Arabidopsis thaliana: one gene and its partners. The protein of the gene in region 3 purifies or fractionates together with the protein of the main gene of each other region. This does not show direct contact. Each region holds a gene or a part of one and is shown on either strand. Other genes may lie near its edges.

What was found.
Region 1: the proteins of AT5G06970 (region 3) and AT4G18060 fractionate together in Arabidopsis thaliana (co-fractionation; one large-scale study listed by BioGRID). This does not show direct contact.
Region 2: the proteins of AT5G06970 (region 3) and AT2G01710 fractionate together in Arabidopsis thaliana (co-fractionation; one large-scale study listed by BioGRID). This does not show direct contact.
Region 4: the proteins of AT5G06970 (region 3) and HAP13 fractionate together in Arabidopsis thaliana (co-fractionation; one large-scale study listed by BioGRID). This does not show direct contact.

What each region holds. Positions count from the first base shown.
Region 1 is NC_003075.7:10,024,311-10,033,304, forward strand, and holds AT4G18060 (SH3 domain-containing protein), read right to left. Parts: upstream 5,724-8,994; 5' UTR 5,353-5,723; coding exon 5,293-5,352; intron 5,088-5,292; coding exon 4,965-5,087; intron 4,842-4,964; coding exon 4,772-4,841; intron 4,668-4,771; coding exon 4,513-4,667; intron 4,416-4,512; coding exon 4,314-4,415; intron 4,232-4,313; coding exon 4,034-4,231; intron 3,960-4,033; coding exon 3,897-3,959; intron 3,826-3,896; coding exon 3,736-3,825; intron 3,649-3,735; coding exon 3,574-3,648; intron 3,478-3,573; coding exon 3,358-3,477; 3' UTR 2,971-3,357; downstream 1-2,970. Other genes in the region: ABCB9 (P-glycoprotein 9), read left to right, coding at 1-149, 237-510, 611-1,244, 1,371-1,554, 1,645-1,911, 1,987-2,250, 2,326-2,970; AT4G18070 (suppressor), read left to right, coding at 6,529-6,634, 7,259-7,845, 7,924-8,019; AT4G18080 (uncharacterized protein), read right to left, coding at 8,900-8,994. UniProt on the Arabidopsis thaliana protein: May be involved in the recruitment of DRP2A to the accessory protein complex and in the negative regulation of its GTPase activity.
Region 2 is NC_003071.7:313,605-317,493, forward strand, and holds AT2G01710 (Chaperone DnaJ-domain superfamily protein), read left to right. Parts: upstream 1-2,043; 5' UTR 2,044-2,099; coding exon 2,100-3,167; 3' UTR 3,168-3,389; downstream 3,390-3,889. Other genes in the region: AT2G01720 (Ribophorin I), read right to left, coding at 3,589-3,714.
Region 3 is NC_003076.8:2,161,671-2,169,410, forward strand, and holds the start of AT5G06970 (plant/protein (DUF810)), read right to left. Parts: upstream 4,842-7,740; 5' UTR 4,508-4,841; intron 4,386-4,507; 5' UTR 4,335-4,385; coding exon 4,327-4,334; intron 4,211-4,326; coding exon 4,035-4,210; intron 3,949-4,034; coding exon 3,884-3,948; intron 3,685-3,883; coding exon 3,354-3,684; intron 3,042-3,353; coding exon 2,975-3,041; intron 2,843-2,974; coding exon 2,692-2,842; intron 2,335-2,691; coding exon 2,167-2,334; intron 2,077-2,166; coding exon 1,966-2,076; intron 1,689-1,965; coding exon 1,479-1,688; intron 1,212-1,478; coding exon 1,110-1,211; intron 1,015-1,109; coding exon 796-1,014; intron 398-795; coding exon 323-397; intron 226-322; coding exon 148-225; intron 1-147. Other genes in the region: AT5G06980 (uncharacterized protein), read left to right, coding at 6,129-6,439, 6,549-6,708, 6,922-7,017, 7,106-7,215, 7,278-7,440. UniProt on the Arabidopsis thaliana protein: Controls the tethering of the proton ATPase AHA1 to the plasma membrane. Is essential for stomatal opening in response to low concentration of carbon dioxide and light.
Region 4 is NC_003070.9:22,366,776-22,375,472, reverse strand, and holds HAP13 (Clathrin adaptor complexes medium subunit family protein), read left to right. Parts: upstream 1-3,249; 5' UTR 3,250-3,587; coding exon 3,588-3,716; intron 3,717-4,080; coding exon 4,081-4,227; intron 4,228-4,326; coding exon 4,327-4,389; intron 4,390-4,532; coding exon 4,533-4,709; intron 4,710-4,792; coding exon 4,793-4,896; intron 4,897-4,999; coding exon 5,000-5,107; intron 5,108-5,246; coding exon 5,247-5,343; intron 5,344-5,428; coding exon 5,429-5,526; intron 5,527-5,638; coding exon 5,639-5,780; intron 5,781-5,881; coding exon 5,882-6,004; intron 6,005-6,085; coding exon 6,086-6,184; 3' UTR 6,185-6,520; downstream 6,521-8,697. Other genes in the region: AT1G60783 (cyclin-dependent kinase inhibitor SMR2-like protein), read right to left, coding at 1-300; AT1G60770 (Tetratricopeptide repeat (TPR)-like superfamily protein), read left to right, coding at 6,825-7,052, 7,267-8,514. UniProt on the Arabidopsis thaliana protein: Subunit of clathrin-associated adaptor protein complex 1 that plays a role in protein sorting at the trans-Golgi network and early endosomes (TGN/EE).

The DNA of each region.
Region 1 (8,994 bases), on a different chromosome or scaffold from region 3:
AAATCGGTTTGGTTAGCCAAGAACCTGTCTTGTTTGCGACCACGATAAAGGAGAACATTGCTTATGGGAAAGAAGACGCGACTGATCAAGAGATTCGAACTGCGATTGAGCTCGCTAATGCGGCTAAATTCATTGATAAACTCCCACAGGTACCTTCAAATTTCAATACAGAAACTACTATTAGAAGAATTTGTATTCGTTGCATTTTCTTTTAAAATGAAATTATCTGTTTGTAGGGTTTGGATACAATGGTAGGAGAGCACGGGACACAAATGTCTGGCGGGCAGAAACAGAGACTAGCAATCGCTAGGGCGATTTTGAAAAACCCTAAAATATTGCTTTTAGATGAAGCAACAAGCGCCTTAGACGCAGAATCCGAACGGATTGTTCAAGATGCGCTCGTGAACTTAATGTCAAACCGGACTACCGTTGTGGTCGCTCACCGGTTGACCACAATAAGAACTGCAGACGTAATCGCTGTTGTCCACCAAGGAAAAATTGTCGAGAAAGGTATAAAGTTACCGTGTGCTCAAAGTTACATATTTCGAGAACGATATTATGAACTATAAGTCTATAACTGTATAAGCAATCAATTGTAAATATTCTACAGGAACTCACGATGAGATGATTCAAGATCCCGAGGGAGCTTATTCACAGCTTGTTCGTCTTCAAGAAGGATCAAAAGAAGAAGCTACCGAATCAGAGAGACCTGAAACAAGCTTAGACGTCGAGAGGTCAGGAAGTCTTAGGCTATCATCTGCGATGAGAAGATCCGTTAGCCGGAATTCATCGAGCAGCCGCCATTCTTTCTCTCTCGCTTCCAATATGTTCTTTCCGGGAGTTAACGTCAACCAAACCGACGAGATGGAAGACGAGGAAAACAACGTGAGGCACAAGAAAGTGTCATTAAAACGACTTGCTCACCTTAACAAACCGGAAATTCCGGTTTTGGTACTCGGTTCAATTGCTGCAATGGTTCATGGAACGGTGTTTCCCATCTTCGGTTTATTGCTTTCCAGCTCAATCAATATGTTCTATGAACCAGCAAAGATACTGAAGAAAGATTCACATTTTTGGGCGCTGATTTATATCGCTCTCGGTTTAACCAATTTCGTCATGATCCCGGTCCAAAACTATTTCTTTGGAATCGCTGGAGGGAAATTGATTAAACGCATCCGATCAATGTGTTTTGATAAAGTGGTTCATCAAGAAATCAGTTGGTTCGATGACACAGCCAATTCCAGGTACTATAACTTTATATATATAATTAACCGCCGTATTTTGTATGTTTTGATTCTAATATTTATTTGCGTTTTGTTACCCCCGGTGCGATTGGAGCGAGAATGTTCCACGGATGCTTCAACAGTGAGGAGTTTGGTAGGAGATGCATTGGCGTTAATAGTACAAAACATAGCTACTGTAACCACTGGGTTGATAATAGCGTTTACAGCGAATTGGATCCTAGCTCTCATAGTTCTTGCTCTCTCACCATTTATTGTCATCCAAGGATATGCTCAAACCAAGTTCTTGACTGGTTTCAGCGCTGATGCTAAGGTTTTAATATAGTGGTTACAACATTTTTTTGAATATATCCCGGTTTAGTCGCGATTTCGGGTTTACTGATCGATTTTTTTTCTGGTTTAGGCGATGTATGAAGAAGCGAGTCAAGTGGCGAATGATGCAGTGAGCAGCATAAGAACGGTTGCATCTTTCTGTGCAGAGGAGAAAGTGATGGATTTATACCAACAAAAATGCGATGGACCGAAGAAGAACGGTGTCCGGTTAGGTCTTTTGAGCGGTGCTGGTTTCGGTTTCTCATTCTTTTTCCTCTATTGCATCAATTGTGTATGTTTCGTCAGTGGTGCCGGGTTGATTCAAATTGGTAAAGCCACATTTGGTGAAGTCTTCAAGGTAAGATGAGAAACATTTCTCGGTTTAATTAAGATCTGGTTCGGTTTAGTGATCTTGAGAGTGTATTTTTTACAGGTTTTCTTTGCATTGACGATTATGGCGATTGGAGTTTCTCAAACGAGTGCTATGGCACCTGATTCAAACAAAGCTAAAGACTCTGCAGCTTCGATTTTCGATATTCTCGATAGTACACCGAAGATTGATTCTAGCTCTGATGAAGGTACAACGTTACAAAACGTTAATGGTGATATCGAATTCCGACATGTTAGTTTCCGATACCCAATGCGACCGGACGTTCAGATTTTCAGAGATTTGTGCTTGACTATCCCTTCTGGAAAGGTAAAAAACAGAGCTTTTTAATTACCGGTTAAATCTGGTTCACCGGTTAATATTGGTTATTGGTTGTTTTTTCAGACCGTTGCACTTGTTGGAGAGAGCGGGAGCGGGAAATCAACGGTGATAAGCATGATTGAGAGGTTTTATAATCCAGATTCAGGCAAGATTTTGATCGATCAGGTGGAGATTCAGACATTTAAATTGAGTTGGTTAAGGCAACAGATGGGTTTGGTTAGTCAAGAACCGATTTTGTTCAACGAGACGATCAGATCAAACATAGCTTATGGTAAAACCGGTGGAGCCACAGAGGAAGAGATTATAGCAGCAGCAAAAGCCGCAAACGCACATAACTTCATCAGCTCATTGCCTCAGGGTTACGATACGTCGGTTGGAGAACGCGGTGTTCAGCTATCGGGCGGTCAGAAACAGAGGATTGCGATTGCGCGCGCGATTTTGAAAGATCCTAAGATTTTGTTGCTTGATGAAGCGACGAGTGCATTGGACGCAGAATCTGAGCGTGTTGTTCAGGATGCACTTGATCGAGTTATGGTTAATCGAACCACTGTAGTTGTGGCTCATCGGCTTACGACGATTAAGAACGCAGACGTGATCGCGGTTGTGAAAAACGGAGTTATTGCTGAGAAAGGAAGGCATGAGACACTGATGAAGATTTCAGGTGGTGCTTATGCTTCTCTTGTCACTCTGCACATGAGTGCAAATTAAGAGACTTTTTGTTTTTGGTTGGAATGAAAGAGAGAATTTTTGGAATTGATTCGTTAATTTTGTCCATTGGAACTCATAAATTTGAGACAAACAGATCCTTTTACTTCGAGCTTTAAAAGCCTCGTACCACACTAATTGAATTCTTTGGGTTTGCTTTCTAACAAAGTGCGTTCCAAATGTTAGAAACGTTTCATTTGTTCCTTTTCTTGTTATCTTCATTAAGAACACTCTTCAATAAGAAGAATCAATAAAACATTTTTTGGAGGTAAACTCTATTTTGGATCAACAAATATGAACAAGAGTAGTAGTTTGTTGGGGACAGGACATAACTGAAACAAAGTTTTCAGACACAAATGTAAGAAAAAATGAAATCTTTGAAGAAGAGACTCAGTAAACTTCAGCAGCAAAGTTGGTAGTGGGAAGTCTCTGTCGCTTCTCAATGTAAGCCATAGGAAACCAACCAGCTTTGCCTTTGCATTCTCCTTCAGCCCAACCGGTTTGGCTCACCTGAGAATACGAAAGAAAAACAGCACACAGAGAGTTAAGTTTCATGCTCTCTCACTACAGAAGTTAGTTCTTTGATACTAGTAAGAAGATGTGAACCTTTCGGACAACGATGTAATCTCCTTTGTCCAAGTCTAACTCTTTCTCTGAAGCAGCGGAAAATGGATGAATCACCTGCGAGAGAACATATATGTTGCTTATGGAGAGTCTTTTTCTTTCTGTGAGATATGCGATGATAATATTACGGAAGATAAAACTTACTTCAGCAAGAAAGTATGACGTTTTCTCTGAGCCGTTCTCTGTTGGAATCGCAGGAGGAGCAGATTCTTTGTGTTGTTTCTCGGTTACCATCTACGCGGTAAGACCAAAAGTGTGAGCCTTTGATGAGAAAAAGATGTGGGAAAGATTCATCCAATACTAACCTCGGCTTCAATGTCACTGAGGATGGCTGCTATTCTTAAGTGATAATTCTTCTCCCCTTCAACCTAGAATAAGCGATAAGGTAAATAGTAATCTGCATATGACAAAAAAATCCAGTGTGTGTGTATGTAAAACATACCATAGCCACAAGCCTCTGGAAAGTGAGTCTATGTTGCTGTGATTCAACAGCGGCTAATGCAGCAGTTGCTTCTTTACCAAGGACTGCCATATTTGCTTTTAGCTCTTGCATTTTTGCTTCCGCTAGTTGAAGCTTTGCTACGTTTTCTGGAATCGGAGCTTCTCTTACACGTGCTTGCCGTCTAGAGACTTCCGTTGCCTGTTTTGCTTTTAAGTTTTAACTTACATTACAAAATAAAATAGCCAACATCATCATAGAACTAAGATCTTAAGATGATTACATGTGTCTCTGCTTCTTGTCTCATGCGGCTGTAACGTTGAGCAAGATGACGAGCATCTTCAAGAGGAGAACCGGCAACCATAGCTCTTAGAGGATCCAAAACCTTAACGGCATTTAACAAAAAGGTTTTCTCTTGTTATCTACTAGATTTAATTCTACGTAAACATACTAAGATTAAACACAGATAATCCAAGCCGAACCTGAGAAGCCAAAAGCTTGTTGAAGTCTTCTTGTTCTTTGTCTACATGTTTCCGTGCATCACCGTATATAGCTGCAGCCTTGGCCAGTATATTCTCATCAATGTTCTGACTATTTTCGTTCCCATACCTACAACAGTCTTCAGACAACTTGGTTCCTGAAATTTTAAAGAATATTAAAAGAAAACTCACAAAAGTATCATAGTATAACTTAATTCAATGATAGGTAACACAAAACAGACACTCATAAGTAGTTAAGTACCTGCTTCAATGTGTCTGAGCCCGATCGTGGTAAATGCCTCAGCTGCTTTAACAATATCTCTCTGGAACTCCTGAAAGTGACAATAACATATGTTTGAGGGTATTGTGCTACGATGAATCATACTGAAACCTTCTCCCCCAACAATGAACTCATATAAAATGTGACAATGCCATTAGGTCAATATCAGTCAAACCTTTGCAGAACGAGTAGAGCGGTAAAGTTTATCGAGTTGATGATGCCTTTGCATTTCAAGCTCATCAATCACCATTACATCTGAGCTTTCATAACCAGTCCCACTGAATTGCTTTATCACAGCCTACATTCCCCATTACCACACATCAATCAACACATCATCACAACCAAGATTGTGTAACTCTATAATACTCAATAATATACAAATCAAAACCCATCAAAAAGTTTCCATTTTTTTTAATCCAAATTAGCAACAAAGAACCTAAATTGAGCTTCGTTTCGCTGAATCGGTAACAGTGAAACTAGTTGCGGCGATGAAAAGGAATTACCAGTTGCTGCTTTGCGACTTGGTCTCTAAGCTTACTCGCTTGTCTTCTAAACGCATCCATTGTCACTTCTCCTCTTGATTTCCCCAAATTGATTCAGAGATACCAAAAAGAGACAAGCTTTAAAGGATTTTGAGTGGAATTGAGAAATCTCAATTAGATCAGAACAGTTTAAAAACTGACAAAGCAGATCAGATCTGATTCAGTAGAAATGTATGTTCTTCTTCGACTCGATGTGTCACTGATTATCCCTCTGAGAAAATCAGTCAATCACAGAGCACACACATCGATCTAAGCGGGTCGGGTCGATTCGATTGATTGAACCAAACCGGTCCGGTCCGGTCTGATTAAAAGGAGCGTTCGCGATTGAATTATTTGGAAGCAGACGAGGCTTTTCTACTAAAAACCTTACGTTACGACTTACGATTATTATTGAGTAATTAATTAAAATTAGCTAAATCCGTTTGGCATAAACTGAGATTAAGTTAATTAAAACTTAAAAGTATAGGTATTAACAAAAAAACTGACATGGACAACTCATAACCACTTGTTATTTGTCCCCACTCCTCCCATATCATTTTGTCCTAACTGCCATTACATAATTATAATCTGAAAAGACAACCTATATACTTTTTCTTTTATTTTATTATTAACGTTGCCTTTCTCAGTATAGTATAGATTCCTACTCTACCGACTTAAAATTTCAGTGAGATATTTCATTAAATTCCATGTTCTTAAAACAGGGTTCTATTGTTGATGTAAACTTAAATCAAATTATAGTCAACCAAAAGACAAATGTATATTGGTATCTAAAGTACTGAATGACAACATTTTTTTGTTTTAATTTATCTATAACACAATCAAGTTGTAAAGATGATTTTGTTTGAACAAACTTTACAAAAATAATCTCTATCCATTATACTATTTCGTTAATAGCTAAATTAGTAAACCAAACGCGGAAAATAAACGAAACAAACGCGGAAACAAAATTACAAGAAGATCAATTAGTGATTTTACAGTTAAAAAAAAGCAATAAAACTCAGAAACCCTTTCACATGTATGTATAAGAAGAATCTAAAACTTTCCCACTTCCACCAATTTGAGTTTTGAAACATTTACGGCTCGACAGAAAAGAAGACGCCATTATATTTTAACAGAGAGAAATCAAAGAGACAAAAGCCACGATCCGCCATAGCTGTTTTTGAGATCGATCCCCACCAAAGGAGCCTAGCCTAAATCATGCCTTCAGGTGCTAAGAAAAGGAAAGCTGCCAAGAAAAAGCAAGAGGAAGAACAACAACAACAAGGATCTTCTACTCTAATCAACCTCAAATCCAACAACCATGGTTTTTAATTCTTTTAACACCCCATAATCTCACTACTACTTTCTTCTTTTTGCCTTTTTCTTCTTGTTGTTGTCTCTCTGTATCTCTCAATTATTCACTCACACCACACACGTTTAGGCCACCTTTCTTGTTTGTTTATATATTTGCTTCGCTTTAAATCTGAGTTTTTTTTTAACTTTGTTCTCTGTATAGTTTCTTCAAGTTTTGATTTTTATGGTTTTGTGCTCATTGATCTAAACAAATGGGTATCTTTTTTACTCTTCTTTGTGTTTTGATTGGGGTTTTAGGCTCACAATTTTGGGATCTCAAGCTGTAAAAATTTGATCTTTCGGTTAATTTTAGCATGTTCTGCTTCGTAATCCATATGGGTTGAATCTAGTTTTCTGTTTTGGACTAAAGGATAGTTTTGTTTATCAGATTCATGATTATGATTGAAGTTGTTTATCATTTGCTGAGTTTTGTTTATCTCTGATGCTTTGGTTTCATTAGTAGTAGCTGTGCCTATTTTGTTTACTAGTATATGTTTCATTCTCTGGATGGTACAATAGTTAGATTTGACTTGAATAGTCAGTGTTAAGTCACTCTGTTTGTGATATTGATTGGATTTGTAAACTGATGTGCTAGATTCGAGAAGCCAAGGTGACAAGGAGAGCGATGATGGTGTTAATGAACGCATAGAGATCACTGATTCAAGCCATGATCATGACAAGAGCTCTAGTAGCAGCAGTAGTAGTAGCAGCAGCAGCAGCAGCTCCAGCTCGGATGATGAGTCACGGGAAGTCAAGAAGATAGATGATGATAAGAAGACTGGTGATGATGTTTCTGAAGTTATTACTGTGAGTTCTGTGCCAATTCAACCTGTGCCTATTGCTGCAGATGCTCCGTTTATGGGATTTACTGCTAATGCGATTGTAGAGAATACTGGTTTGATGGATTCAGCTGTGCCGAATGATCCCGAATCTGGAGAACTGGTTGAGATCTCGCATGTTGATACAATAGTCTCAAACGAGGCTGATGATAATTCTTTGCCTAAAGCAACTGAGATTGCTGCTGAAGTTGCTCTTGCATTTGATGAGATTAGGCAGACGTCTTCAGGTGCTACTGACTCTGATGTGAAAGAAAATGAGGGAAAAACTTCGCCTCTTCCAGAATCCAACGGTGTTCCTGAAGGCAACATAGAGTCTAATGTTGTCATTTCTCATGAGGAAGAGGTCTTTATTGTTTACCTATTTGGTTCATCTTTTATGTTGCTCATGTTACCTAAAAGACTAACATCAGTTTTCTCTCAGGCTCCCATCTTGATACCAACACATGGAATTGCGAAAAGAACCTCATGGTTTAGTTGCTGCGGCTTGTTTGATGTGGTCACAGGATCCAGTAGATAAACTCAGGTAACTTCTCTGTTTTATGTGAAAACATCGTCGGATGCATAATCTCTCTTTTTGTTTCATGAGTCTATTATCTATATGTGATTCTTAGTTCATGGACAACAACCATACATGGAAGCATTTCCTTCATTATTTCTGTAGCAAGAGTCTATAAACATCAATGGTACTGTCAATTTAGCTGCGAGTAAAATAGCCTCCTGCATTGCTGTCTGAAAACTCACATGTCTTGAGTCACTGATGAGTTATATTTTCTATGTAATAGCAGAAACAGTGTGTTGCCTACAAATTGGAAGCTGCAGAAGTGTTATAGCGGCGAAGAATTATCGGTTTCCTCTCTCGATCACCTGTGAAAATTCAGTAACTTGATGAATGAATGTCTCTCAAATCACAAATTTTCTCAAATGATAGAGTACTCATCTTCTAGTAATATTCAGAACAGATATGCTTACAATTTCTGCTCTTTATATATGTCCTTACCAAGTTCTTTTTAGTTTTTCATTCTGTCATTCGTTTTGATATGTACCATTTTCTTGTCTGTTATTGTTTCGTTCTCTCAGCTTATGAGACTTTGAGACTGTTTAATATAGATATTTGCTTCATACATGACCGGTATTTTAAAATTAATATATCTATATATGCCACAAATTGGATTCGTGTTAGTAACACGGTGTTACACACGGTTTCCACATTTCTTGCAGATACAGTTGATGGATACAATATGCGAAAATTCTTAGCATTCGTATGAAGCGTGTGTAAGAACCTACATTGTTTTTATTTCTAGAGAACAAAAAACTTTACACAAAATTTACCAATCAAAGTCTACAAAAAAATCTCTGGTCCAAGAACAGTAGAAATCCAGAATCATGCTTCTAATCATTCACAGCTCCTGTAATGCCTCTGCTTGAAACAGAGACTGCCATATCTCTAGTAAGTAAGATCCAATCACTGATCTCCCAAATCTGTTATCAGCAA
Region 2 (3,889 bases), on a different chromosome or scaffold from region 3:
GAAGAAGGAGCGGAGGATTATTTCAACGGCAAAGACGAAAACAATCAGATCTGGTCAAAAACGATGAACTCATCTGTGGCTACCATAGTTACTCGGTTTCTCCAATTCGATTTCTGCACAAACTAATTTCTGATCTTTTTTTTTTATTAATTTGTTTTTCTTTCTTAGTGGATTTGTTTTTTGGTCACAAGTGATGTCTTTAAAAAACAAGGAAAAAAAACTAATAAAGAAGACAAGTGAAAAGTGCGTGATCACTGTATCAAATGACAACTTCACCCTTAATGTTAGTAGCAGCTAACCGGGGTAATATTGGTATTTACTAGAGTGGTATTTTTTACAATTTTAGGTTACAGTATTTGGTTATATTAATTTTTCTATTTTGAAACATTAGCTAAAACATGATTATTCTTTATTTATTCACATCACATTGAAAAGTAAATAAATTGTAGTTGGAAATAATATCATTTCTTCATATCAATATGAATATTATTATCAATATTGATAATTATATTTTTATTTTTAACATTTTTATAACATCTTCAAACACATACATTATTTCAAATACCATTAGATATTATATTATTATTTTAAACATTTATTATTATTTCATATCATGCTTTTTTATAGGTGACTTAAATATGGACTTTGTTTCCAATAATATAGTTATATCAAATTTTATTTTTTAAACATTTAATATCATTTCTTATCATGCTTTCATTGCTTTTGTTTATAGTTTGAATGAACGAAAAGAAAAAACGATAATCATGTTTTATTTGTAAAGTTTGTTGTGAGTAGTATTGCAAATAAATTTAATATTTTATTCGGCCGGCAAACGTTACAAATAAAAAATAATTATTATTTCCATTTTATTTGTACTATGTACAACAAATAAATAAATTATGGTAAGAGATAATATTAAATGTTTTTATAATTTTCATGTTTTATTTGTATTATTTTGTGAGTGAATCAAAGATGAACTTTTGTTTTGGTAGGTAGTCATAGATGAACTTTATTTCTGATTTTTTTTTTTTTTTTGTCAACAGATTTTATTTAGAGCTCAAAAGAGCCAATTGTGAGGAAAATTATTTATAAAAGTGACATGAAGCGGTTCAATATGAATTTTTCGTGCCAATTTGTCCGCCTTTACATTTGCAGTTCGAGAAATTAAAGATAAAGAAAACTTTGTGAATTCCTCCTTATATCGGTCTTTAGTTCCTCCAAATAAGTTGAAAACGCTGGTCATTCGGTTGGAGAAGACACCATCTTCACCAAGTCTGAATAGTCTGTAAAAAATGCTACTTCTTGGTTGTCGGCACCAATCATACACTTCATCGACCAAAGTAGTGCTTCGACTTCTGTATGGAGTGGATAAAGACTTCTACGAAGATTAGCAGCTCCCATGGTTGGCGAGTCTCCATTTGATGATCTGCAAAACCACCCTAATCCAGAAAACTTATCGCTTCCTTTCCAAGATCCGTCCACAAAACAACGCAAACCAGAATAAATATTATCGTGTGATATATTCTGAACCCGAATTTGTTTTTTCGATCCCATGGAACCGTTATTTTTGGTATTGAGCTCAAATTGAGCTAACTGCCATAATTCTGCCTCTTTTTCTGTTAAACATAATACGTCTAACTTTATTTCCGATATTCTTAGCTCTAGAAAATTTTCATTCTTAAAACATTTAATATTATCTTGACCATATATTTTTTAGTTATGTTGTCTGAATAAGATGAATAAACAATAATTATGTCTCATTTATAAATTATAACTCTCTAGTGAGTCAAATACCGACTTTATTTCCAATATACTATAGTAATTTTTCCTTTTATTTACCTTTTTAATGTAGTGTTAATAAAACCAATAAAGTATATAATCATATTATTTTTGTAACTGGTGACACAAAGCTGGATTTTATTTGCAATATTATAAATATGGCGAAATAGGAAACGAATTGTAAGTAGGTAACATTATAAAAGGGTGAAAAATAATAACATAAAATAAAATTGTGAAAAATAATAACATAAAAATGAAGAAATGATTTTATTACTAAATAAATTTGGTAACAAATAAAGTTTTAGTTTCCGTTTACTCCAATGTTACTATTTTTTTTCCCCCGACCATTTTTACACACAGCCAATCAGAGCCTTGTTTCATCGTCTCTTGTCGAGGCGATAATATTTAGATCTGCTCACCATTTCTCCGCCATCGCCGACGGAAGAAGAAAGATGGGAGACAACAACCCTAACCGATCAGAAGCAGAACGTCTTCTCGGAATCGCGGAGAAGCTTCTCGAGTCACGAGATCTAAACGGTTCAAAAGAGTTTGCAATCTTAGCTCAAGAGACAGAGCCACTCCTCGAAGGCACCGATCAAATCCTCGCCGTCGTCGATGTCTTACTCTCATCAGCACCAGAGAATCGTATCAAAAACCAACCAAACTGGTACAAAATCCTTCAGATCGAAGATCTAACTGAATCATCAACAGACAACGATCTAATCAAGAAACAATACCGTCGTCTTGCTCTTCTTCTCCACCCTGACAAAAACCGTTTCCCTTTCGCCGATCAAGCTTTCAGATTCGTGCTTGATGCATGGGAAGTTCTATCAACACCTACGAAGAAATCTCAATTCGATGGAGATTTGAATCTCATCTTCACTAAAGTAAATCTCAACACTCAGAAATCGAAGAAGAAAACAACAACGAATGAGAAGATGTCTACGTTTTGGACGGCGTGTCCGTACTGTTACAGTCTTCATGAGTATCCTAGGGTTTATCAAGAGTATTGTATTAGATGTCAAAACTGTCAAAGAGCGTTTCACGCTGCGAGTATTCCTCAGTTGCCTCCGTTGATACCTGGTAAAGATGAGTATTATTGTTGTTGGGGTTTTTTTCCGATGGGGTTTGTTGGTGGTAAAGGAGGAGAAGCTGCCATTGCTAATGGAGTAGATGCAGCTAAGTTCCCTAATTGGATGCCTCCGGTTTTCTCATCCGGCGGCGTTGCAGCTCCTCCAAGTGGTAATGGTGTTAGTTTTGATGGATGGTCAGGTGGTGCGGCGAAGAGAGATAATGAGGCTGTGAGGAGTAATAATGGTGTTGGAGTTAATTCAGATGGAACACCGAAGAAGAGAGGAAGAGGAAGGCCGAAGAAGAATCCGGTTTAGTGATCTCTTTTCAAACTCCGGTCATGATTGTTAAAATTATGGAGACAAAATTTTAAAGGCAAGTTTTTTTTAAGGCAAGGAAGTTTAGGATCAGCGTTTGTTGTCTTAGTGTAAACTTTATTATGCATTTGTTGTTATTACCGTTGTGTAATTGTGTTATCTTGATTTACTTTGAAACATTTTCCTCATTACATAATTTGGCAATTCGCTCTTTTCCACTTCACTTGTTGGATGGATTAAACACTTTAGATTCTCTGTAAATAAAATTGAGGAAAAATCAAGATTGGAGAGCAAAGTAGTGTCAAAGATATAACTCTACTAAAAGCAGCAACACCTACAAAGTTTAGTTCTTCAAGTGATGATCAAAAGTATTTTCTTTTACGAGTCTATAAGTGAAAGCGAAGGACTGTTGATAAGACTTCTACTTCCTGACGATATTGAGATCGATGTGTACATACGCAAGCGAAGCCACAAATACTAAGAAGAAAGCCGATACAAGCATGAATGGTTCCGCTAGCATGTATATTGGTTTGAATGTATAGTACACCTGCAAAATCGTCACACATGTTAAGCAATTTTGTAACTTATGGAACAAAATGAGCCTATTGCTAATAACACTAATACACTCAGATTTTTAGGGTTCTTCTAATACTACTACACATAGCAGAAAGAAAGGAATTGGCTCATTATGGTGATATAGTTAAGTCTGTGGAAATTGCTAG
Region 3 (7,740 bases):
AAAATCAGCCCCATTATACCCTCCATAATATTATGCGTCAAATTGTTCACAATGGAATCAGAATTTGCTCAATTCTTAGAATGGGCATAAATAAGAACTGATATGTTATCGTTGGTCGAACATCTAGAAGATTGGTATAACACTTACCCTTGTGAACGTATTCTTGATGGAAGATAAAACGTAGGATTCAATTTGCTCTCGATCTGAAGAGTTAGAATGCATCGCCTGTAGAGAAAAATGACAATCATTCTCAGTTACAAGTACAAAAGTCATGTTGGGGAAACTATGTCACCATCGCTCCATTAAAAAGCAGGTAACATACTCGATCAGATTCCTCCAACAAGAGCCTCCAAGTTATCATTGCAACTGTGACTGTATCCTCCATGACAAGTGAACCCTGAAATGTAGATAAAAATAACAAAATATCTAACTTCAATGGTATAAATAGAGAAAAAGAAATTGCTTGCAATAGAAATGTATTTAGAAGTAAGATAGATATAGGGAGCCTGAGGTGGACATACTCTTATTTGGATTTATGTATGATATATAAATTTAAGTGTGATATATTCATGTGTGACATACATATGGAATAGTTGGACATATTAAACAATGCGTCAATTTTCTGGACACTACTGAGACTAATGTGTCCATTTGATGTAAAAAACACAATATCACATAAAGCAAGAGTACAGCTCACTAGACAAAGTAAAAGAAGATGGCTAATCCTATATACGAATTACTGTAATTGAATTGAAAGCAACTAATGTGTCTGAACGCATTTGTTTTAGATAAAACCTCGGCAAAATGCAGATGGTAGTCGCCCAGCTGCTTATCGGCCCAACTCCGTATAGGTGACAAGAAGGACTCCAGGAAGGATATCTCTTCATTATCAACCCTACACTTCAAGGTTTTCAAGTGTAAACGCTCTTGAGGCCCTCGTTGTTCTTTTAGTGGGATCTTCTTCAGCTGCTGAATAGCATGTCGCAGAAGTCCTCGTTCACTAGTAATGACATACTGCAACCACACAACACACTCATAAGCTACCGTAAAACTTCCCAGCTGAAGCATCAATATCGTTACAATAAAGAAAATATCTAATCCATCATTACCTGTCGAAACAAAACCCAAGCATAGCATGTGTAATGGATGGTCTCTGTAATTCCGAGAACACGCCATGTTGACTTCAAAAGCTCAAGAATTTCTTCAACTTCCTAAAATAAAATAACAAAGGTTACTTTATGAACATTTCATAGTAACAGAAACAATAAACTGTAAGGCAACTTGTCAAGAATTTCTTTCTGGTAATGTATATGGGAATTATAATATGATGGAAAAACAAAACAGAGGAATCTAAGCAGCTCAAAGAGTGTCAGCTGATAAAAAGAACAAAAACCTTTCAAATCAATATGATTTTTAAATGACCAAGAATATTGCTTCTGGAAAATGTATTCAATAAAATTTTGACAGAATTCACAGACCTCTGTGAGCTTCCCATCATTCAATATGTCAAAGACACAGAGAAGCAATTTTTCATATAGTCTGACATTCAAATGATAGCCATCAGCCCAATGGCAGACTTCACCCGTCAAATCACCACGAGCCGGTCTCTCAGCAAGTGAGATAGCAACTTCTCTAAGAGATTTTAAACATTCTGCTCTTTGCACTTCTCCAGCTGAGGATGGAAGAGACTATAAATAGAAAGGAAAGTAAAAGAGAAGTCAAAAAACATATCATGAAATCACTAAATGTAAGAAAATTCAGTTATTATGGGATAAAAGCCAATAGAGACAACTGCCAGAAAAAAAAGACGCTAAGCCATTTTTTTCCACAAAGAATAACCCATCTTAACCTTTGGATGATATTATGCCACACCCTTAAAGAAAAGACCTAAAAATACCCACTTCCGATATCTGATGTCTACACAATATAATAGATCACATAAACATAATAAGGTGGAAAAAATACCTCTGATTCTTCAATCCTTAGCAGAAGACTCTTCAGGTCAGTTGCCTTACGACCTGATTCTCCAAATCCAACAACTGGATTGTTAATGAGCCCCTCTGCTAACATGTTTAACTGAAATACCAAAACATTAATAGATGATAGGACCAAATACTAAAAGAAAGTACTCAATATTACACTCAGATGTGAAAAGGTGGTCTTTACCTGCCTTTTCTGCCAGCGTAAGTATGCTTTCTTGTCAGAGAACTCGGTACGAGACACGCAACATAGCAATTCTAAAGGCACCAGGAGGCTGTCCATTCTTTTGCCAACTTTTCCCGCTAGGGCATTAAGCAACCCTTGTCTTGTTCTGATGTCCATGGCCTCAGAAATCTGTATGAGCCGAAAATATTAATTGTCGTATACAGAACAAACACATAAAGTAGGCTAACTGAGAATCATATGGTAGTGCAGGCAACAGCGCCAAAAACATAATACAATACATTGACATATGGAAAGAGTAAACTGACAAACGAAGCGAAAAATGTCCAAGCGCATACTAAAAAATCAATGAAGCAGAGACATTTGGCATACAAAAATGAGGGCATCTTAACATGGTAATTACATAAGAACAACTTTACAAGAAAAGATAGAGTAGTAAATATGTAATTCCATGCTCTGACAAACCATATATGCCTCAACAACAGAGATAAAAAAGTAACAGTAAGAGAGAAAGAGAGAGGGAGTGACCTCCATTTGGCCCCGCATCATTTCTAAAAGAGAAACCAATCCTGATGAGCTCTGAGATTGAGAAACACTCTCACTTTTGCGACCAAGCTTCTTAATCAGCCTAGACCTGCTTTTCTCCTTCTTTTTCTCTTTTGATGGTACTATGAGACCTCTACATGATGAAAAAATACATGTTGAAAACATATGAAAGAGAAATTATATCAGTAAGGATGTGACTAATATTATAAGCACACCTCAACTGAACAAAGAAAGTAAAAAGTAAGCAAGACAATATTCTGTATACCCTGAAGCTCCAGCGCAAGCCAAAAGTATTTCAAATGCAGTTTCACGGAGATCATCATCGGTAATACCTGAAACAGAAATACATTGCAACTTTCTTAATAAATCAGCAGGGCCTTGACTTTTCATAGGTGTGGGTGTACTACTTATGGTCCAGTCGTAGTTAGCTCTGGCTACTGGATGGTATAAGCAATGATAATTTTACAAGTACTCCTTTAGTTTCTCGAACTAAAATGCCCTGTCCATAAATAATAAATTACCAAGTCTACAAATGCACGTATGATCTGAATAATTTTATGAGGTTATTCAATGGAATGACAGTAACAATAGTATTCCTTTATCAAATTTACTTCTTAAAGATATGCATTTTCCAAAAATATTACCAGTCGCAAAGGAGGGCAGTCTTGGCACAAGATCAGCAGCATCATTTGCAGTCCGCCTAGAGATCCTGAAATTACCAACTTCATCAAGATCATCATCGTCTTCAAAATCATCAATGTCATCAACAGTCAGCTCTTGAGCTTTTGGTGAATCAAAAGATTCTGATCGCATCAATGGTGGCGCAGATGGTGACTCACACCACTCGGGATTTGTAACCATGGGAGAAGATGAGGAAATTAATACAGGAATAGGCGGTGGGGCCCTTTTTGGAGGTGAGCCAGAAGATTCAGGAATTGTAGCCAAAAAGAATTCATCAGCAGTACCCACGCTGTTCTGAAATATACATAAGACTCAAGCATTTAGAAAATGACTTATATAAGTCGATGGAGAAGGAGTCCGTTATATGTTAATAGCAAAAGGTTTTCCAGAAATGAACAGGCATTATCCTAGAAACTGTTGCAAGCAACTCCTAGTAATGCTTAACAAAAGTTAGAAGTATCAATTAAGAAAGCAATATGTTACATGTACACACCATATAAGGCAATCCAATGTGATCATGATAGTCCCGAATCGCTTCAGCGAGTTCGAGCATTCCACCTAAATTGAAACAATACACACTATTAATCTGAAAGAAAAAAAACAGAACGATCACGAAAACAAAAGAAGAAAGAAGCTAGTAGTACCTTTCTTAGCACAGTTAATGACATAATCAACACTAACTTGATCTAAATCAACATCGTCAAGAGTCACAGCACCAGGAGGCATTATAACTTTCTTGATTAAGCTACCAGCCAACATAAAATCCAATAGCTTCCGCCTATCCCGGCGATATCTCTGAAGAATCTCGACAGCATTTTCTCTATACACGCAAGAAAATACAACAGCACATCGATCAAAATGCAATAGCAATAAAACGAAGAAGATTGTACAGTAGCCCAAAAACAAAATCAAAAGAAGAAGAAGAAAGAAACATACTCTTCCATCTCGATCCAGCTGCAATAATAGTCACACGGATTCTCAGATTTCCAATTGACCTGTGAAATCAAAAGCCACGAATCAGTAAATCAAATCGAATCAAGTCTACTTCAAGTACGAGAACTAGAGACTACATTTGAATGCAGATTTAGTTTTAGAAGTAGAGTTTAACTGAACTAACCAATCATTTTATCAGATTCCTCGCAAACACCGGAATTATCCAAAGGAAGGATTGATTTAGTGAGAATTTAGAGACGACTGAATACGAATATGATCTGGTAAATGTAGATGAATGAACTGTTTTGGAGAACTTCGAGCAGAAATTTCGAGGTGGTGATGAGCAAATCTAGAGAATGCGCCGGGGCCGAAAGATCTATCTGTATATTATTATTTGGGAAAAACAAAATGAAGCTGATTTGTCTCAACTTTAATTTACTCTATCTCCCTAATTTTCTTTCTTTGACTTCTTTTGTTATTCCAGAACACCGAATTTGTCAAAATTGAAGTCTCAACTTCATTCATAGTGAAGAAAATATACTATGGGAGTATAATATTAATTTTCATTACTGATTTTAAGTAATTAGATAATTATTTAGCTTTTTAGTATTCCTAAATCTTATTTCTTAATGAAGATTTGAATTAATTTGGAAATCTTAAAAAGATTAATGTTATTCAATTATCACTGATTTTAATATTACAAGTTGAAATTCCTATGCTTTTCACTAATGATATGAATATTGGGCCCTCATGGGCCACCTTCTTCCTAAACTTATCTTCTTTACTTCTTTCACAAGCCTTGTATACAAGGGCAATTGCCTCCACATGAATAAACAAGAAACCTCACAAGAACTTCTATGTTTTTTTGACATGGTATCAGATTAGCCAACACATCTTTCCACATTGTTTATGTTTTCGAATTTTGGACCGAACTGGATATAAACATAGATTTTGTCAAGCCCATATGATTTTTTGTCAGGCCCACTATATCATATATTAACCTTACGAAGTAACAAGCAAAACTGGATTAACCACTTTACCTATAAGATCGTCGGCAGCTGGGTGGATTTTCAAAATACCTCCTATAAAGGACCTAAACCAATTTCCAGTTTTAAAAGTTTTGCTTAAGAGAGTGAGAGCCTGAGAGGAACATTATCCACTGCATCCCCATGAGACCATGGGTCCCACTCCACCGCAAAACAGTCTGTCACGTGTCATCACCTCCCTATACCTACAGGACACGTGTCTACACCAAATCGAGTGAACATGTGACGTGTCGTCACCAAACCTGAGCCGCTAACCACTGCCTGATCTGGAGGGTATATCCGTAACTTAAAATCCTTTTGTCGTCTACCCGTAAACAGACAACTTTTAAGAACTACAAAAACGTACAAGTTGGCCAGTTGTGTCTTGCAAGATTTAATTAATTTTAATTCAAGTGCCGACCTCACACAGAAAAAGATATGTTTAACACGTGGACCAATGAAAGAGTTGCTTTAGATGGAGGAGTAATCTAAGCCACAAATCTCGTTTGTGAATTCTAAGCCACTAACTAAAGTTCAAACTCACGCGCTCTCCACTTCCTCTCTTCAACTTGCTTCTTTGTCTTCTCTCTCTTTCCTCCTTCGCACTCACAAATCTACAGAAGATAGAAGAAGATAGACTCATAATCTTTTGGATTTGGATTTAGATCTGATCATAAAGGTGACTTCTTTTGATTATTTTATTCTTAAGAATTCAAATGTTTTTCTCCTGTTGGTTGCTGAATATAGTGAGTGACTTGTTAGCAGGTTAAAGTATCATTCATGGATCGTTATTCGAGGAGGAATTTAGAGGATCTTGTTGTGCCTAACTATCAAGAGACATCAGATTCGTACCCTTCTCCTGATATGTGGGGTACTGGATGGAGCATGAACTCTTCAGAAGCTGCTGAGAAATGTTTTGATTATGATGTGATTCACAATGGTTTCAGTGGAGGATTATACAGTCAGATGGAGATGGATATGGGAACTAGTGAACAAGTAGAAGAAGAAACTAAGAAGTTAAAGGCTAGTGGTTGTTTTGACCGTTCGCTTCATGATTTTGATGAAATCCAACACATGGATGACATGTTCTTGTAAGAAATTGTTTATATATCACATAAAAAAAAAAAAAAATCTATATAGTTTTTCGATGTTTATATTTTTGTGTCTCTCTCTTTTTGTTTCCGGTTTTGACTGAAGAAGTTCCATTTTGGAGGATGTTCCAGGGAATGAGAATTTTCTTTCTTTCAAGGAGTCGGATAATAACAACAGCTCCAGTTCCTCCTATCTCGACACAACTGATGGCAGGGAAGTCCCTTTGTTCCATTACAACTGGGAAACTTGTCAAGATATGCCACTTATGGTAAGAATCGACTCTTTTGATATACTAGCAATGTTAAATAGTAGAAAAGAGAAACTAAGTGATTGACAAATCTTGTTGAATTCAGTAGACTCTTGGGATTAGTCTGGTTTTGGATTTTGGTCTGAGATCTCTCGGTTATGTGTTTGACTATTGTTGTTCCAAGTGAGATAATAGTAAAGATGTTAATGATCTTGGAACATTCTTTTGGTTAAGGAGGAGGATGCACCTATGAATCTGTGTGAGGAGAACAAGGAGGAGGCATCTGCTGAAGAAGTTGTGTTGCAGGATCTACAAAGGGCTACAGAAATGGTGAGTGTGGTGATTTGATCTAGCCTATATAATCTTCTTTGAGATTTGATCTGTCTTGTAACAGACTTTTACATTCTTCTTCTTATAGTTGACTGATGATACCCGCAAGTGCTTCCGCGATACCTTTTACCGGCTTGCAAAGAACTCACAACAGAAGTCAGACTCCAACTCGGATGAGTTCCTTGAGGATAGAACCAGGTAAAGAGAGCTTTTTTCATTAATCATACTTTGCTTAAAAATGGACTCATCACCTTCAATAGTTCTAATGACTCATCACCATCTATGACGTTTTTGTCAGTAGGGAAACTGAATTTGAAACCAAACTCAATCGACAGAGCCGTGGCCAATCTCACATTCAACAAGATGGAATCCAACATGAGAAATATGCCTCCACCGAAGAGACTTTCTTCTGTTCAAGGATAAGAGAGTTTCATCATATTTGGTAATACCATATGTGTATATAATATATATGTGTGTGTGTATGTGTGCTTGGCTTGACTTTTTCCAAGCTTCAGTTTTGATCTGTTTCATTAGACTCTGACTCTGCTTCTGGATTTCCAATTTCTTATGCTATATGTTATTTACCGAGTGAACCTGTGAATGTACATTACCCCATGTAGAATCTGTTGTTTCAATGTATCAAAAAAGATATTCTTCAGACCTTTTGTTAATTTGTTGATAAGAGGAGACACAGAAACATATCTAAGTGGGAAACGACCTTGG
Region 4 (8,697 bases), on a different chromosome or scaffold from region 3:
GACGGTCTCGAGATCTGGTGGCGAAAAGAACTCTCTAGGGCCGTAGCTAACCTTCAATGTCAGTTTCCGTTTCTTAGGCGCCGGAGGACACGGAATTACCGTCGGTATTCTAACGGAATCCGCTGTTGGAGTCGTTGGACAGAGATCTTCGTCTTCCGTGTTGGATACGGCAGAGGAAGAGAGGCTAATCGGCTTCACCGTAGAATGTAAGGAGATTCCGGTGATGACGCATTTCTTCCCTTCGGTAGTTTCGCTAAATTTTCTGTCAAACTGGTGGTAAGTCTTGCCGGAAAATCCCATAAGTTATCGTATGAAGTTAAGAGAGAAACAAGAATTTTTTTTGATGTAAATGAAGGAAATGGAGAATGAAAGAGTAAAAGATTAGGTTGTTGTTAAAGTAAGACTTGTTTGGAACGAGAGAGAATGTGAAGAGAATGAAACATGTGATTCAGAGAAGGGGATTGGTCTTATAGTCAACAGTGACTTCAAGACAATCGATCGTTCGATGTCGATTCAGTTCAGTTATTTTTTCCACGAATTTTTTTTTTCGAAAATTCGTATCTTAGTATTTATTTCCTTGGTTACATTAAAAGAACGTAACGAAGAGATAGTGACATTGAGTGTACATTGTATCTTTTATTAAATGTGAGAGAATATCCTTTTTTGTTTCTTTTCTCAAGCATAAAGAATGTAATCATGGTATTTAAAGCATATGTTTAATGTGAAAGAAATACAGTATTATGTACCCTAAATGGAACAACTTATTTTGATATACGTTCTTAAGTTATTTTTTGATACATAATTTAGTGGTGATGCCAATAGTTTTTGTTTTAGTCATACAAACTGAAAGGTGCTATAGTTTTTAAAGGGTGGTGCAAAAGATATCGATCGTAGTCAACTAAAAAGTGCCCTAACTAATGATTACGATAATCCGTTTTATATTGGTCGAAGTTAGGTGATTAAAATATGGTTTCTCTACAAGTATTTTGTTTGGACACTGCAAATAAAACCTTCATGCACATAAATTCTGGAACCATCTTCATTTTTTTCATAATTAATCTCTATCATATATAGTAGTATAGACCCCGAAGTAACTTAAATACCAATTATGTATTATAAATACGGATTGATAACATTTCATATCGAAACATTTCATACATTTTATATCTGTAATGTTACAACCAGTCTAAAGCCAAGGATTCTAGAAACTAGAAACAAATTTTACTAAAATTAATTGAGGGAAAACTCAAGAATGTGTGTGTGATCATTGAAGAAATGAAGAATGTGTGTTAGAGTGAGTGAATATTCAAAAGACTCAAATAGGTTTTTAATGAACAATAGGGAACCCGAGGAAACGCGTGACTCTAAGATATATGAATTTATTTTGCACTTATTACTTTTGATTAATTTTTATATTCTAACCCTTTTTTATATACTATTTTTTTCAGTGCAAGTAATGAATGAAGTAACGAGATGAGAGTCTAGTTTCAAAGTTTTGAATCTTTTTGGTCAATGTCGTCTCTATTTGTTGACCATATTATACGTTTGACTTTAACCCCATTTTTCTTTAATCTCATTCTTCTTCTTTGCTTCAATGGTTGACGAATTCTTACCGTAGAAGTTGCATCTAAATATACCAAAGATTAATACTGCGAAAATATGATAAAGAAGATTTTTTTTTTTTGTACTCTCTAGAAATTTGTAAACGATATTATTAGTGTTTGATTAAAGACTCCAATTTTTAACATAATGTCTATATCCACATAATGAATTTGTGTCTCTACTATATGTAGTGTTCCCGTCATATATGCATTTTTGCGATAGTCAATCGGATCTTTGTATTGCGGTTAATTGATCTGGTCTTTCTTGAGCGTACAAAATAAATAGAATTGTACGTATTATTAGAGATGGTTACATTTGGTTTACATTATTAGTTAAAGTTAACCAATAATGTAAACCAATAAAGTTAACCAATAATGTAAACCAAATGTAACTATCTCTAATACGTATGTTGACTATGATGTACTTCAAGACAAGTTCATCATCACTTAACGTAACTAACACTATATTAGTTAAGTTCAAGACTTATTGCCCATGATTCATTTGTAAACTATGAAGTAACATATCTCTGATTTTTTCCTCTTATGTTTGATAAATTAGTCATTATAATTAGTGTCTTGCCAAAAAGTACACTTCTATCTTATTAGCATTCTACATTACAAACTATTAATTTCACTACGTATAGCGGTATAGGGAGAAGATCAATAAGGCGATCACAATATTAGTTAAGTTCCGAGTCTTGCATTACCATTGTCCTATGAATCACAGAACAAGAGGACGCATATATATATAGTATTTATAAAAGACTAAGATAGTCACAGAACAAGAGGACGCATATATAATTGACAAATACTCAAAACATGTGAAAAGATAAGGGCTATTACGTCTTCATTAAGATCCCATAATCTTTATGATGAGAACTTAAGAGCCAAACTAGCTATGTAACAAAATATCAAGTTTGAAAGTAATAAACTGCTTGAATAAGCTTCAAGTTCACTACATGGTTTAGAAAGGTTTAAAATCTATTACTTTCAAACGCTTTTATTGTGTACCAATCAATCCAACAAAGTATGCAATCGTACTAATCAATCCAACAAAGTATACACTCACACCGGTAACATCAAAAATTCAAAAATTCAAAATTTCATGTTACCAATCAATCCAACAAAATATACAATCCCTGAGACCGAGTTATAATTTGTTGGAATGATTGGTACCAGTGAAATTGTGTTGTCGTGTGAACATCAACACATAGGAGGTAATATACGTAAATATGCTAGCAATCAAGCTAAGTATACAAAACACTTCATGTTGCAGTGTTCTATTGAAATTTTATATATCGAACTAGAATACTATCATGGAGAATGATCAAATGTTGCATATCTTCATATCCACGAAAAATGAGTACACAAACATTCGATCATACCCCATGACAGTTTTCTAGTTTATACTTGATAGTCCTCACGATTTCATGGTGGTGACACTACACAAACCCTAGATTCCCCTAAAGTTTTTGTGAAAAACGCATATGTTCGATTTTAGGTTTTACTTCTATCCTTGATTCATTACAAACCTATTTTTATACTAATTCGTCGTTAACCTAATAATTTTAACCTACGAAACCCAACCTATATGGGCCTGACTTTATGTAATGATCCAATGGGCCTTTCTTCTTCAATGATGACTTTCTTCATTGACTCTCCTTCTACTTTCGATGGTATTAAATTTGACGGAAAAAGTAAAACGATACCGTCTGGGTGAAAGGCAGAGCTCTTTGCTTCTGAATATTATTATTTTCTTAAATTCTTCCGTTTTTTTTTTTAATCCAACCACAAGGATCGATAACGAAATCATCAGATCGCCAGAAAAAAAAAAAAAATTGCGAAATGGAGAATCTGAGCTGCAGATCTGCGTCAATCTCCATCTAGATGTTGTTGCTACTTCTTCCTCTATAGAACCATAATTTCATCAGATCTCGCTGATTAATCATCCCCATTTGGATCTGATCGAAACTCTTAGGGAAGAACATGGCAGGAGCTGCCTCCGCGCTGTTTCTGCTTGATATCAAGGGACGCGTTCTCGTCTGGCGTGATTATCGTGGCGATGTCTCCGCTGCTCAAGCCGAGCGATTCTTCACTAAGCTCATCGAGAAAGAGGTTGTTCTGATCTTCCTCTTATCGCTAATTGGTCTTTGTTTATTGCTTGGTTACTGTAGAATTTTCAGAGAAACATAGAGTTAGCGAACGAACTTGTAGATTTGTGTTTGAAAGATTCGTCAATTGGAATTGAAACATTTCGAAGATAATGGATTCGTGTCCATTTTCATCTGCACTGGAAATGAATTTTGAAGATAATGGATTCGTATCAGTCTTTGTGATCTGATGCCGCTGAAATTTTTTGGAAGTAATGAACAAGTTTGATCATTGGTTAAATGTTTTGGATTAGAATTTGATTTGAATCTGTACTTTTGAAGCATTCTGGTTTAAATCAGAGTAATCATCGTTTTGTTTAATTGTTCAGGGTGATTCACAGTCAAATGATCCAGTTGCTTACGATAATGGGGTGACTTATATGTTTGTACAACATAGTAATGTATACTTGATGATAGCATCCAGGCAGAATTGTAATGCTGCCAGTCTTCTCTTCTTTCTTCACCGCGTTGTCGATGTAAGTATGGCTGGTCAATTCTTTAGTTTTTCTCTTAAGGTTCCATCTTTTTCCTGGATATTTGATGTAATGGCAATGGTATCTGTTATCTGGTTATAGGTTTTCAAGCATTACTTCGAGGAGTTAGAAGAGGAATCATTGAGGGATAACTTTGTGGTAGTGGTATGTTAAGCTTCTGTCATCGCTCTTTTAGTACTATTTCGCAATATATTTTTCTATTACTTGGGCAATCAAAAAGATCCTTAAAATTTTGGAAAAGTATTTGTCATTGTTAGATGCTGAAATTGATTTTTTGGTGCTGGCAGTATGAGCTACTTGACGAGATGATGGACTTTGGTTACCCTCAGTATACCGAAGCAAGAATTCTCAGTGAATTCATCAAGACTGATGCATATAGAATGGAAGTTACACAGAGACCTCCAATGGCTGTGACGAATGCTGTCTCCTGGAGGAGTGAGGGAATACAGTACAAGAAGAATGAAGTGAGTGCCATTGTTTTCGCAAGATAGGAATATGTTTCTGATGTTTCGGTTTGCAAATAATGACAACCTGCTTCTTTTTCCAGGTTTTCTTGGATGTTATTGAGAATGTAAATATTCTTGTCAACAGTAATGGGCAAATTGTCAGGTCTGATGTTGTTGGAGCGCTGAAGATGCGAACTTACTTGACGTATGTCAACACATCAAATTTACGATATAGTTCCTAATCAGCCAAAGCATGTTAAATCACGTCCCTTTTTGACTATTTTGCTCTTTGATCCATTCTATTGCAGTGGAATGCCAGAGTGTAAGTTAGGACTGAATGATAGAGTATTGCTGGAAGCGCAGGGACGAGCAACTAAGGGAAAAGCCATTGATTTGGAGGACATCAAATTTCATCAGTACGTCTTTAAGTTTTTATTATATTGAAACTTGGAAAGTCTTCACTGATCTTAACCCTTCTATTTTCTTTTTGTTCAAAAAGATTATATACTTGAGTTTTATGTATTCTCTTCTTCAACAACCATTTATTTAATGCAGGTGTGTTCGATTGGCCCGTTTTGAAAACGATAGGACGATATCTTTCATACCACCTGATGGGGCTTTTGATCTGATGACATATAGACTCAGCACTCAGGTTTGACATGTGGGATATAGCATCTACTGGAATTGTTCCACGTCTTCAACAAGTAAATATCATGATTTGTTTCTTTTATGTTCAGGTAAAGCCACTTATATGGGTGGAAGCACAAATAGAAAGTCATTCAAGAAGTCGTGTTGAGATGCTCATAAAAGCTAGAAGTCAGTTCAAGGAACGAAGGTAAATATATTCTATGGTATTTGTGCCACTTTCCTTTTCTGTCTTACTGTCATGCAAAGATCCTGATTGATCAGATTCTTTAAACCTTTGATCACGAACATTCTTTTTGTAGCACCGCAACGAACGTTGAGATTGAGTTGCCTGTACCAACCGATGCATCTAACCCCACCGTTAGGACATCTCTAGGGTCTGCCTCTTATGCTCCTGAAAAAGATGCGTTAGTCTGGAAAATCAAATCTTTCCCGGGGAACAAGGTATAACACTAACAAGGTTCAATAAACTCTTAAATTCAGTTGAAACAGTCAGCAATGTAGACTATGTAGTATCAATGCTAACCTTCAGAAAACCAATATAGGAGTACATGTTAAGGGCAGAGTTCCATCTTCCAAGTATCACTGCAGAGGAAGCAACTCCTGAGCGAAAGGCTCCTATCCGTGTCAAATTTGAGATCCCTTATTTCACTGTTTCAGGGATTCAGGTAAGCTTGTGCTTAATAATAAATGGTTACTGTCTCTTCCACAATGTCATATATATAATATATATGTTCTTTGGTGTGTAGGTTCGGTACCTAAAGATTATTGAGAAGAGTGGGTACCAAGCACTTCCATGGGTGAGATACATAACCATGGCTGGTGAGTACGAACTAAGACTCGTGTAATGCACATTTAGTTTCATCGTCTATGTCAATTGTGATTCCCACATCCCTCAAGGAATTGCCTGAATCAAAGAAGCAAAACGAAACAGGACAAAAGTAGAGGGAAAAGAAAACGTTTTGAAACATTTTAGCTGATCAAATTTTCCTTTAATTTGTTTTAGAAGCCATATTCTTGTGAATTTGTCTTTATGGTGATTCTATTTTATTTTACATGAGGCTCTCTGTAACCTTTCACGACATGGTTCATTATTTTCCTTTAGACTGCTACATTTCTGTCTATGTGTTCGTTCTGCGATCAAAATTGTTAAACGTTGAGGTTTTGGTTTTGTTTTTTGGGGCATTCGTCTATGTTTACATAGGTTTCTCTCGAGTTATGATCAAAATGAAACTACATAAACAAATTATGCTTCAATAGAGTGAGGTGAGAGAGCCTTACAATAGAGAGAACGTATATTTTGGTGTTTCTCATATTGTTTAACTGATATAGTATGGGCCGAAATGAAATAATCGTCAGGCCCATTAAAAAGCCCATAATCACCATACTTTCTCCTCCAATTCTGTTTCGAGCTTGGGAAGTGACAGTGAATTAGGGTTTTACTCAAAAAACCTTCTCGTTGTCGTTGTTTACTGCTCCGACGAGAAAATGGCGATGCGACATTTGAGCCGATCGAGAGACGTTACAAAGAGATCGACAAAGAAGTACATCGAAGAACCTCTGTACAATCGCCTCTTCAAAGATGGTGGTACAGAGGTCAAAGTTCGACAGCAGCTTAATCAGTTCCTCAAAGGCACTAAACACGTCTTCAAATGGGAGGTCGGCGATACGATCAAGAAACTCCGAAATCGCGGCCTCTATTACCCAGCTCTCAAGGTTTCATAAATCCAAATTGCATTTTCGATTCTCTAGGATTAGCTTCACAATAAGCATTTGCTTCAAATCTGTTGAATACATATAGAAATGTAGATTCTTAAGTGGTATTTTGATGCTCATTATGAACAATTTAGTAATTGTTGAATAATTTTTTCACTGTGTGATGATTGTGTCTTTAGATTTCATATTGTGGAGTTGTTTTTTTGGTTTGTAGCTATCTGAAGTTATGGAAGAGAGAGGTATGAACAAGACAGTGAGTGATCAAGCAATCCATCTTGATCTTGTTGCTAAAGCTCGTGAAATTACTGCTGGGGAGAATTATTTTGTTGATCTTCCGGAAACATCTAAGACGGAACTCACGTATGGGTCTCTTTTGAACTGTTACTGCAAGGAGTTGTTGACAGAGAAAGCGGAAGGTTTGCTGAATAAGATGAAAGAGCTCAACATTACTCCTAGTTCCATGTCTTATAACAGCCTCATGACTCTTTACACCAAGACAGGTGAGACTGAGAAAGTTCCGGCGATGATTCAAGAATTGAAGGCGGAGAATGTGATGCCGGATTCGTACACTTATAATGTCTGGATGAGGGCTTTGGCTGCTACTAATGATATTTCTGGTGTTGAGAGAGTCATTGAAGAGATGAATAGAGATGGTAGAGTTGCTCCGGATTGGACTACGTATAGCAATATGGCATCGATATATGTTGATGCTGGACTGTCTCAGAAAGCTGAGAAGGCTCTTCAGGAACTGGAGATGAAAAACACGCAACGGGATTTTACGGCATATCAGTTTCTTATTACTTTGTATGGACGTCTGGGGAAGCTGACTGAAGTTTACAGAATTTGGCGTTCGTTGAGGCTGGCTATTCCGAAAACCTCAAATGTAGCTTATCTAAACATGATACAAGTGCTGGTCAAGTTGAATGATTTACCTGGTGCAGAGACATTGTTCAAGGAATGGCAAGCTAACTGTTCTACTTATGACATCAGGATTGTGAATGTGTTGATTGGAGCTTATGCTCAAGAGGGTCTAATCCAGAAAGCAAATGAGCTCAAGGAGAAAGCTCCCAGAAGAGGTGGAAAGCTCAATGCTAAAACATGGGAGATCTTCATGGATTACTATGTAAAGAGCGGTGATATGGCTCGAGCACTCGAATGCATGTCAAAGGCAGTCTCCATCGGCAAAGGAGATGGTGGCAAGTGGCTACCGTCACCTGAAACAGTCAGAGCTTTGATGAGCTATTTCGAGCAAAAGAAAGATGTTAATGGAGCTGAGAATTTGTTGGAGATTTTAAAGAATGGAACAGACAACATAGGCGCAGAAATATTTGAACCATTGATAAGAACATATGCAGCAGCGGGAAAGAGTCACCCTGCTATGCGACGGCGCCTGAAGATGGAAAACGTGGAGGTTAATGAAGCGACAAAGAAGCTACTCGATGAAGTATCTCAGGATGTGTGAGGTCTGTTCCATCTCTTTCTCCTTCATTATTCACTTCAGACAAAGACATCATTAGTCGTGATAGGGTCACTTGCATTCTCACAGCTCTGTCTCTTATTGGTAATAAAAAAATAGGCTCTGAATCGGCAAAATCAATTGTATGGGTCTGTTTTACTTTCACCGTAGACTGTTTGTTCATGTTTT